Linked DNA regions of Xenopus tropicalis. The protein of the gene in region 1 interacts with the protein of each later gene in a pairwise test. Links are inferred from orthologs where the notes say so. Each region holds a gene or a part of one and is shown on either strand. Other genes may lie near its edges.

What was found. The genes of interacting proteins can lie anywhere in the genome.
Region 2: the proteins of ccnk (region 1) and cdk18 interact in binary tests that used the Homo sapiens proteins (3 or more experiments, as listed by UniProt). The two-hybrid records come from large-scale screens. The link is inferred for Xenopus tropicalis from reciprocal best matches to the Homo sapiens genes CCNK and CDK18.

The regions. Positions count from the first base shown.
Region 1 is NC_030684.2:90,617,198-90,622,538, reverse strand, and holds part of ccnk (cyclin-K), read right to left. Parts: intron 4,568-5,341; 5' UTR 4,534-4,567; coding exon 4,337-4,533; intron 3,643-4,336; coding exon 3,561-3,642; intron 2,892-3,560; coding exon 2,760-2,891; intron 1,644-2,759; coding exon 1,538-1,643; intron 1,445-1,537; coding exon 1,387-1,444; intron 1-1,386. UniProt on the Homo sapiens protein: Regulatory subunit of cyclin-dependent kinases that mediates activation of target kinases.
Region 2 is NC_030678.2:73,259,757-73,265,411, reverse strand, and holds the end of cdk18 (cyclin-dependent kinase 18), read right to left. Parts: intron 4,681-5,655; coding exon 4,603-4,680; intron 2,798-4,602; coding exon 2,763-2,797; 3' UTR 1,467-2,762; downstream 1-1,466. UniProt on the Homo sapiens protein: May play a role in signal transduction cascades in terminally differentiated cells.

The sequences.
Region 1 (5,341 bases):
AGGGTGTTTTAAGGATCCGACGTCCACAGGTGGGGGTTATGCTTACAGCCCAACACCGTGCAGGACGTTTGCATTTGCCAGAGAACACCAACACTGGCAAATTCGCCACTGGCACCCTGTGCTCTTCACAGATGAATGCAGGTTCACACTGAGCACATGTGACAGAGTCTGGAGACGCCTTGGAGAACATTCTGCTGCCTGCAACATCCTCCAGCGTGACTGGTTTGGCAGTGGGTCAGTAATGGTGTGGGGTGGCATTCCTTTGGGGGGCCGCACAGCCCTCCATGTGCTCGCCAAAGTTAACCTGACTATCATTAGGTACCGAGATGAGATCCTCAGACCCCTTGTGAGACCATATGCTGGTGTGGTTGGCCCTGGGTTCCTCCTAATGCAAGACAATGCTAGACCTCATGTGGCTGGAGTGTGTCAGCAGTTCCTGCAAGACAAAGGCATTGATGCTATGGACTGGCCCACCCGTTCCCCAGACCTGAATCCAATTGAGCACATCTGGGACATCATGTCTCGTACAGGAGTTGGTGGATGCTTTAAGTCCAGGTCTGGAAGGAGATCCCTCAGGAGACCATCCGCCACCTCATCAGGAGCATGCCCAGGCATTGTAGGGAGGTAATACAGGCACGTGGAGGCCACACACACTGAGCCTCATTTTCACTTGTTTTAAGGACATTTCATCAAAGTTGGATCAGCCTGTAGTGTTTTTTTCCACTTTAATTTTGAGTGTGACTCCAAATCCAGACATGGGTTGATAAATTTTATTTCCATTGATAATTTTTGTGTGATTTTGTTGTCAGCACATTCAACTATGTAAAGAATGAAGTATTTAATAAGAATATTTAATTCATTCCGATCTAGGATGTCTTATTTTTGTGTTCCCTTTATTTTTTTGAGCAGTGTATATTTAAGTGTAAGCCAACACCATTGGTGATGTTGCCCATATCAACTAATCAGCAATTAGATTTGAATGGTCACCTACAAGATAAAAACAAAAGCAAAGATCTGATTGGTTGCTATGGGCAACATCTCCTGTGGTGTTGGCTTAAACACTAATAAATATACCCCTTAATTACTACACTGTACACAGGGGAATAAAGTCTTGTGTATGACTGTACAAAATACATAGTTTTAGATTCTGTTGCATCATATATTGCTTTTGTATTATTAACAGGTATCACATGAAACTGCATAACCTGGAACCAGAGGGGAAACTGTCAAAACAGGAGTATCCTGGGGATTGTAGGAATCAAGGTTGTAACTTATAGAGAAGCAAGGAGAGTGCATGTACAGCAATGCACTATATAATATAACCTATAGCAAGGTAGTTGGGACTTTAGTACCTTTTTCAAAAGCAATAGATAAACTGTACTTTACCTGTCATTTACAAAAGTCCACGCCATTTGAACCAATTTCTGTATTTTGTTCTTGTCGCCTAAAAAAATTAAATAAATTAGTACAAAAAAATGTTATAAGCAGTAACACAAGGGCTACAATCAAAGCTCTTCTTTTAGGACATACTCCGCACCTTTTAACTGTTTGGCATATCTAAGAAGGAACTGGTAAGGGTGCTCCACCTGGAGGTCAAACTTTATTGTCTGAAGAAGAATTCGCTCAAGGACCATGACTTCCTCCTACAAAGCAGAACAAACCGAGTTATCTGGTATAAGGTAAGAAATACAGTTACTGAAAGATAATGGTTTATTGCTACAAAAGACATGCTGTGGTAATAAAAGGGAAAAGTCTATATAGTAAAAGCAGCAGTATTTATAAAGTCACAACACAATAGCTAAACTGTAACTTGATATTTAAAAGTGTTTTCGATTTAACAGATTCTACAGTGTATTTTGAGAAATGCATACTATTTGTTTAATTTACAAAAGATGTAAAATGAATAGTCAGAACAGTTACCCTTAACATCTTGGCCAGAGCCCCCTAACTTTTATTGGATGTTTTGTGTGTGTATGTTCAATGTACATTTATGGGCTTATTTATCAATTTTTTAAGTTTGTGAATTAGAAATTGTTTTTAACATAATTTTCTTCCTGCATGCTATTACAAGCAGCTGAACTGCAGCTCTTTTACTTACTTTCTTGTCTAGCATGAAGCTCCACCACCTTTTGCATTACAAAGACCTCTAAGAGGTGCCTCTTCTTCAATGAAAATCAATCAGGCATGTGCAGTAGGCAGCTCTTTGAGGTCATGATAGTCAGAGAGAGGAGTGCTCAGAAAACAAAAGGTAGCAGAGCTTCATACTAGACAAGGAAAGACCAAAAAGAGATATAGTTGAACTGGCTGTAATAGAGAAACTAAATTAATCCAGATGCAGCAAGAAAGGTATGTTATTCTGGGGGCTGTACAAGTAGTATTTTTTTTAATAATAAAATAGCTACACATATCCAGACTTGTAACAAGGTTTGAAGTTTCCAAACACTGTAAAAGCAATCTCTAAGAAAACCTGGGTCTGCCTAGTCAGTGATAAATAAATGCACCCCCTTCCTCCCCAATCCCTGTGCCCTTTTACGGATTTTAAGATTATGCAATGATAGCTTGTTAGAACATATGCCAATGTAATGCCCTTGGAGATATGTATAATGTATACAGAGTACTTCTAGGTACCAACCCAAAAGCAGAATTACTGAAAGTTATTTAGGTTAATCAGTAACAATTGAAAAATTCCAATTCACACTTTTACATTAATTTAAATATTACATGGAACTGTATGGTTCACACATTTTTCAGGAGCATACCTTAGGATCATCCCCAAACTGGCCAAATTGTACATCATTTAGTAAGCTACGGGCAGTTTTGATAATATCTTTACATTTCTTAGGTGTTTCTTCAACTTTACCAGCCAGAAAAAGACAGCAAGCTCCAGTCACCTGAAACCAAATGTTAAAAAAGTGATTAATCATGCAGTTTTTTATCATTCAACAACTTGTTACATAAAATTATATAACTTGGCATAATGGGTAACTGGTATAGTTACCCATTATGCCAAGTTATATAAGTTTACTTTAGAACCTAGGCATACCAGTAGGGGACAAGTTGGCTAAACTGGTCAGTATTTCTTAAGAGCTGCGCAGCAAAAAATAAAAGCACGGTATTTGGGGGGGACAAACCGTTAAAGGAGAAGGAGAATACCTAAGACATTCAAAATGCATGACCCTTAGCTAAAACAGACCCTTATGATTCCCCTCCTCCAGGTTACAAGCAAATTAGATGGAGATTCATTCTTTCCTTAGCAAAGGAGCTGGAATGAGAGGGTTTTTCATTACCTTTCAAAAGTTAAAAAAAAAAAAAAAGATTTTGACCTGGGCAAAATAGGGCAGTACTTTGGAAAACTGAATAACATTCTGCAGCAAGTCTCACAGACTAACACTAAACAGAAAATATCAAATTGGAAAAAAATTAAAAGGGCAATGTCATGCATATCTGATTTAGAAACAATCAGTTTAGTAGAGAACATAGAAATTAAATCCACAGTTTGAAGCGAAAACTTTAATCCCATCACTTTTTATACATTTCAACATAATACATATAATACTTACATATCTAGGAAATTGCTTGAAGGAATGAAACATGTAGAACCGGTGAAAATAAATGATTCCAGTTGCAAGGGTATCATAATGTCTATGTTGAAAGTTAAGAATATATACCACCACAATATTATCAAGCCAATGATCTTGCTGGGGTCAGATTGTGTAGGACCAAATTTGCAAATAAAAAAAAACTTTAAAGCACAGGAACCTAATTAAGAAAGAAAGCCAGGAGCATATTACATATAGGAACCTAAATCTGAATTAATTCCACATCTGGGTGTTCCATCCTACAGCTGGATCTCTCACTACTAGTTTATATAAATAAGCTGAAGTGTAAGCATGGGGGCAGCCATTCAAGATGGAAAGGGAAGCAAAAACAAAGGTTATATAGCAGATAACAGATATGCTACGTAGAATACAATGGTATTATACAGAGCTTCTCCATTATCTGCTATGTAAACTGTGCCATTTATCCCTATTTAAATTTGAATGGCTGCCCCCATAGCTACAGAGCAGTTTTGTTTATATGAACTACAGTAGGGTTTCTGAAGTAAATACACAGTCTTTTACCAGTGCAGGGCAACAGTTTACATTTTAATTACTTCGATACATTTTCATTTTTTGTTGTTACTGTTTCTGTACTAAGTCATGGGACATCATTACACATTTAATATTTAGAAGTAAATATTTTACAGGTCATTGATAGATCTTATGTAATATCATTTTACTCTAAATATACTTTAAAAAAATACAGATGAAAAGTGACAAGTTACAGTGAAGGATACAACCCTAGTCGGGTTCCAACATCAAATATGAACCGAGCCCCTTCTCTCCGGTATCTTGCCTCTGTAGCAGGATCAAGCCCCTCCAGCTGTGATGGAGTATGGGCCAGGTCTTTCTTATCCCAATACCAGCATGGCTTTGCATGGTCCAGGCTTGCAGGAGCAGTGGAAGGGCTAGAATTCTCCTTATTCTCTTTCATTGATGCAGTTTTACCTTTGAAACACAGGTTAGATCTGAAAAGAAATATAAACTCATAAGCAAACAAGCTCACAATATTCTGTCTGCGATATGAAATAAAAACCTTTTTGTGTTTAAATGACCTGTAACAACAGGAAATGAATGTATATATAATCAATATACGGCATTGGCCTGCACTCAAAGGTCTTAATAAGCATGACAAAACTGTGGCAAGAAGGGAGGTGAGTGACACTTTTTTTTTTTACTTTGACAAAGGCACTTAATAAAAGTTGTCACGCTTCCTAAGACAGCAAGTATGGACCTATGCCTTATATTGATTAAATTATTATACAACATAGGCTGTACCCAGGCACACTGGATATCTGTTAAACATGAGTGCCGGCAGAGTTACTGTTGATATATTTACAGTATATCAGCAGGAGGATCAGCACACCAATATTACAATTTTAATAAAACAGTTTTATTTTTAATTACCTTTTACAGGGAGAGAGTATCTAATTTGCTACTGCTCTTGTAAGATAGAGACCTTCCTATAGTATAGCAAGCAATGTTACTCTCTGCTGACTGATCTTACTTAAGAGGGATCTCAACCCAAAAAATGTTATCCTAATGCTTTATTATTCTCTCTTCACTGCAATCAGGTAGAAAGCAGTGCCCCATACACATGTCAATGCCACCCACACTAATCTATGGCAAACAGCAGCTGAAGCATGTATGGAGGTGATGGGTAGCCCTCTACACAAAGATGCTTACAATACTGCCAATAACACAAATCAATTCCAGATATTGTTCACGTGGGTGGCAAAACT
Region 2 (5,655 bases), on another chromosome or scaffold:
AAACTAGAGCAAACATACAAGTTGTTTATAATGTACAGTATACAAAATACACATGTTCATTATTTTACAACAAATAGGAAAAGACTTCTTGTTTGAGAAATGCAGCTACAGTATTTTTAGGTGAAGTAATGCATATCACTAGGTGTTAGAAGGCATTCTCCTTTGTAGCACCCAAATTCTATTAACTATTTTCTAACTTAATTTGAAGTTATTTATGAAATGTTTTCTTCAAAGTAGATAAAGTAGTTATATAAGCAACTTGTATGTACGGAATATGATTCCTATTTCTGCTTGGAAAAATCAAACTGAAAACTTGCAGGATGATATTATAAAGATACCCAGGTGCCTCTTTGCTAAATTCTTCTCATGATACAGGAACAGATGAGAAGATCAAAAAGGTGCAACAAAGCTACAGAATGCAGGCCAGTTAAAGAGCCACATGGTAATGTTTTATATCTTATTTTAAAGATAAGGTGAAAACAAAATAGCTTGTGCTGGTGCATTTACAGAAGAGGCACACCATCCCAGGGCACATGGTTGGTAGTTTCAGTCAGTTGGGATGCCCAACAAATTGGTACATCCCCAGTGATTTAACATTTGGTTGACCTTTAAATGCTACATTGTTCTGTACTTTCAAGGAGTAGTGACTTGAAGGGATTCATTTTGTTGCTACTACAGGGACACATAACTGACTTAAACACCCAATGTGACATAATCCTCAGAGGGCCTAGCATTTGACTTACCCTGTTTCCAGATACATTTAGAGCAGAATTGTTAAATGTGCCATGAAATTAAGGGCCTCATTGTTAATGCTTTGAATACTAAAATGCTAAAGCACAAGGGGCACCTTAATGCTCATTCAGAAAAGATGTGTGTCCAGGGCATACCTGGGCTTTGTACCTCACACTGGCTTAAAATCTGACAGGGCTCCTTTACACCCTGAACCCGAGTTTTGTAGTGACCCTTTGGGTGCAGACAGCAGGATAGGGTGCAAAGTGGCTTTCCCTCTGTTTTTTTTTAGTTTGCATCCTGTGCTGCAAATAGTAATTGAGTCCTTAAATCATTACAAAATAGTTTCTTACTTCTAAGAGCCTTGGTGCAGTTTAGATATTATAATTTTTCAAACTCCACAAATAATTCAAAATTAGTGGTATACATGGGGGGAAGATTTTTGATTGCTTGAGTCTTTTGGCTCAAGCAATCATAAAGGAAGCCCCATGTAAGTAAAGGCACCCACAAGGCATATCCTTTATATGATTGCCTTAGCCCCAAGGCTCAAGCAATCTTAAGCCTGCTGATGTGCAGATAATAAAAATCCCAACAGTAAAGTGTTAGGGCATGTGGATGTACATAATATTCTACATGAATTACTCATAACATGCTAGATATGCTTTACTACAACAAAGTAGTATCACAAGGCAGGGATTTCCTTCCTACTGTGTCTCTTATCACACAACACCTCTCTGTAAATTTATACTTGTTTATTTTATTTATTATAATACTTGTCAAACCTGTGTGTAATTGTTTTACAGCACTACATTTCCATGTCAAGCTTTATAAATAATGTTATACATACATGTAGGTGGAACAAGTTCACTGTCATCAGATTTTACTTTAACCTTTAGCTCATGTTTCAAATCTGGAACCAATCATAATGGCTTGGTGGCTATGTAACCTTTTGTTATGGTTTGATCAATCAGTGTATGATGAATGCCATTATAAAATTAATAAATGGCATACCATTAGTCACATATTTTGTTACTGAATTCAGCAGGCTCACAATGTTCAGTGGCAAGGACAATATGCATGGCAAGGGCTGACCTTTAAGTCTTATAGTGCAATATGAAAACTTTAAGCATCATCCCACCTCACATGGTACCAATCTTACCAGAGAATCAAACACACAAAATGTTTTTACTATAAAGGCCTCACAGAGCAAAGTTTGGTGGGATGGTTGGTGTGCATTTCCCATTTTGTGAAAAATATTTGCTAGACAATATCTTTCTATTTTTCACATTTAAAAACAATTGTTAAAACATGTAAATGCTGCTATCCCTATATAGCCCAGTATCCCAGGTTATCACCAATTTACATGGGATATGTGGCACTGTGTCACAACATGGCACCTGGAATCTGCACTATGTTACTTTCATGCTTCCTGTATGCCTTTCTGTGTAATGATAAAACTGTAAAAATATATTTGAGGCACCAGCCTTATTTGTTTCCACCATATGGTTAATATAATTTGGAATGCATCTTTAGGTATAAAAGGATACAATAAGAAAATATTTTAAGAGCGGAAGACACCACCATCTCCTTGGCTTAGATCTGTGGTGAAAAAAGGAAGGAGTGTTGCTGTTCATTTTAATACTATTTTTGATCTGTGGAATGTGAGAGCACAGAATTCAGTGGTGTGAATCCAGTGTTAGAAGTCCCAGAAATGTTTTTGCTGTTCAAAAAGGACCAACCATGAACCACCATTTCCACCCTGAGTAATTTCACTCTGTCTTTTTTTGATCTATATAATTAAAATAAGGCTTTAGTGGGGTTTGGAAGAGAAGAAACTCATCTCTTAACTCTCCTTTGGTCCCTGAACATGACCATCTACACCCAGTTAATTACATTTGGCACAAGACTCACTGCAGCAGGGCAAGTTCTAGCTAATACTCAAAGGTGTATACTGTATCACTGCAGTAGTGTCTTGGGAAGAAGGATCAAGCGCAGGGTTCTCCAGGGAGCTCTCTGTTCATCCAGCGCCACCTCTAAAATATGCTCTGTCTTCTGGCCTTCCCACGAGCTGTAAATAAAAAGATAATTACATTTCAACTTTTATATAATTTATCGCGAGTTAACCAGCCTATCATTTAAATGTAAATTACATTAAATAATAAAATCCATGGTAAGTGGTATTAGCTGGCCACATTGCTTTAAACTCCATGTAATTAATCCTATCCTACTGCACACCAGTCTTAAAGGAACAGTAACACCAAAAAAAAGTAGGCACTTCAGCTGAGACTATTATTAAAAATTTAAGGGTCATGATTTTTATGGTGTAGTTTTGTTACTAAATTACAGGTGCACGTTTCAAATAATTTTAATCTCTATCATTTAAAATTGTGTTCTTGAACCAATAAATGTATTTTTTTTAGTTGTTATACTGGTTTGTGGGCAGCCACCTTAGGTCATTGTACCTGATCCTGTATTTTTAGATAAGCTATTGTTTCTTCTACTCAAGGTAACTGAAGGAATCATGGGCAGAGTTGGGTGTTTTACCATTGAGTGCTATTCTCATATCTACCACTAGAGGTGTCAGGAAGTTTAGCAGAGCACAAGTGATATGGCCGAGGGCACCAGGGAAACTAAGAACATATCTAGCTCCATGCCAAATTTCAATATGAAATCTGTTTGCTTTAAAAATCCATGTAAATAATGGGTTTCAATGCAGGACTATGCTGAAGGAGGGCTACTAACTGATGCATTTTTTAAAAAAGTAATTTTTTTCCTGTGACAGAAACCCTTTAAAGGACAATAACAGGTTAAAATAAATTAAAAGTAAGTCTAAAGGCATTCTTTTTAAGTACTTACTGCATATCTAAATTCCCAGATCCCTGCTTGCTTCTCTGAGATATGGTGCTGGCAGCCTACAGCAGTGTGAAGACTACAGTGACATCACTGACATCTCTCTGTCCCTCCTGTAGGCTGCCAGCGGCAGCCTTCCTATTCTCTTAGCATGTGTGTAACTTGATCCTGTCTCCTGTTCTGAACTACACATGCCCACCAGCCAATAAGAAGCAAATCTGGCAGAGGGGAGGGGGGGGGAGGGAATGAAACACATGTGCAGTATGAAGCAAGGAGGGAAAGGAAGGGAGAATACCTTTTTAGAGATGGCTGCCTGTTGTAGAAAATGTGAAGTTAGGGCTCTGGCACACGGGGAGATTAGTCGCCCGCGGCAAAACTCCCTGTTCACCGGCGAACATGTAAGTCGCCGGCGGGATGGCAGAAGCGGCGGCGCGATTTCGCGCAAATCGCGAGTCTTTTTCGGCAATTTCCTGAAATCGCCCCGCCGCGTCTGCAATCCCGCCGGCGACTTACATGTTCGCCGGTGGGATGGCAGGGGTAGGCAACTCGGGGAGATTAGTCACCTGCGAACAGGGAGTTTTGCCGCGGGCGACTAATCTCCCCGTGTGCCAGAGCCCTAAGTGTGACTGAGTAAATATTTGATTAGGTGAGCCAAAAGTGTGGCGTTTTTACTAAACAATATGAGGACTATTAGGCAGTATGCTTTTTAAATTTTGACTTGCATTCTCCTTTAAGGACTTTATAATAATATAAGAAAAAATAAAGGAACTTTTTTTGCTAAAGTAAAGGATTTCTATAACAGTTCTAACTCTTATGGAAGCTTTTCAGAAATTACTTTTTTTCACAACCCACTGAAATGTTTCTGCCTCAATGTTTTTTAAATAGGACTCTAAAGGGAAGGGGATAGTATTGGTACAAGGCAAAGCTTTTATATACAGTATAAAATAAATGGCTACTTTTAAGCACAAGTTCTCTTTATGCTCCAGTTGGTAATTTTTACTTAACACAGTTTTGATTTGATACCTGCATGATGAAAAATGGAGCTACGGTGCCCTGGGTCTTTTTGTAGTTGGATTTCTTTAAGTGTGAAGATTGATGCATCTAGAAAAAAAAATACAAAGAAGAGCAAATAAGAGTTGGAAATCTGGAAGATGTGTGATAAATATAAGAAAGAAGACCATTAGATTTATTTTAAGCATAATGTAAGTATAGGCCCCTACATAGACTTTTTCCATTTCGCTAGCCATGTTCTGCCCTCTCTCTTTCTCTTTAACCGGTTTTGGTTTTTAAAGGAACAGTATACCATTTTTTTCAATATTAATTCAATGAATAGGGCTTTTTCCAATTATTTTAACTAAGGCATGTATTTTTCATCAGTTCTTGCACTAAACAGGGCAAAGTCTAAAGAAAGTACAGCAAGTAAAATCACATTCTATTTACTGTAATTCAGAGCACAATCAAAGCAACAGTCCAGAAGTCCAATTAGGAGCAGGGGCATATTTACAGTTTTTGCTGCTCTAGGCACTCTTGATGATAACAACCATCCACCTCCTCAGCTTTGAATTTGTTTTTTGCTATGAAACTATAGTAGTGTCACAAGATTTCACAAGAGTGAAATCTGGGGATTGAGGGAGGTAAAAAATTTCACTTTGCAGCAAGACTTTTAGGCCATGCCCACTTTTGAAGACACAGCTCCAATAAACCACTCCCCATTTTACAGATACACCCTCTGTAAATATATAATGAAAGCAGTGGCAATTTTTCATATAATACCCCTAGAACTCATAGCAGAATGATGCAGAATAAATCATTGCAGTAAATATGACTTTTAAGTTGCCTGATGGCAGCTCAGTGCCTCCCTTCACTCCTTTATTGGTCACACATTGGGCTACTACATTTCTTTTTCCCACTGCTGGGCAACTGAATCACATGTGGGCTTGTGCATATTTAATAGCTACAAATAGCATTGATAATCCAGTACTGTAGATGATTGTATTCTAAGACAACATGACTTATTTGTTAGGCTCTCATTGCAGAGTACAAGGGGTCCAAGCCCTCCTAGAATAAGCACTAAGG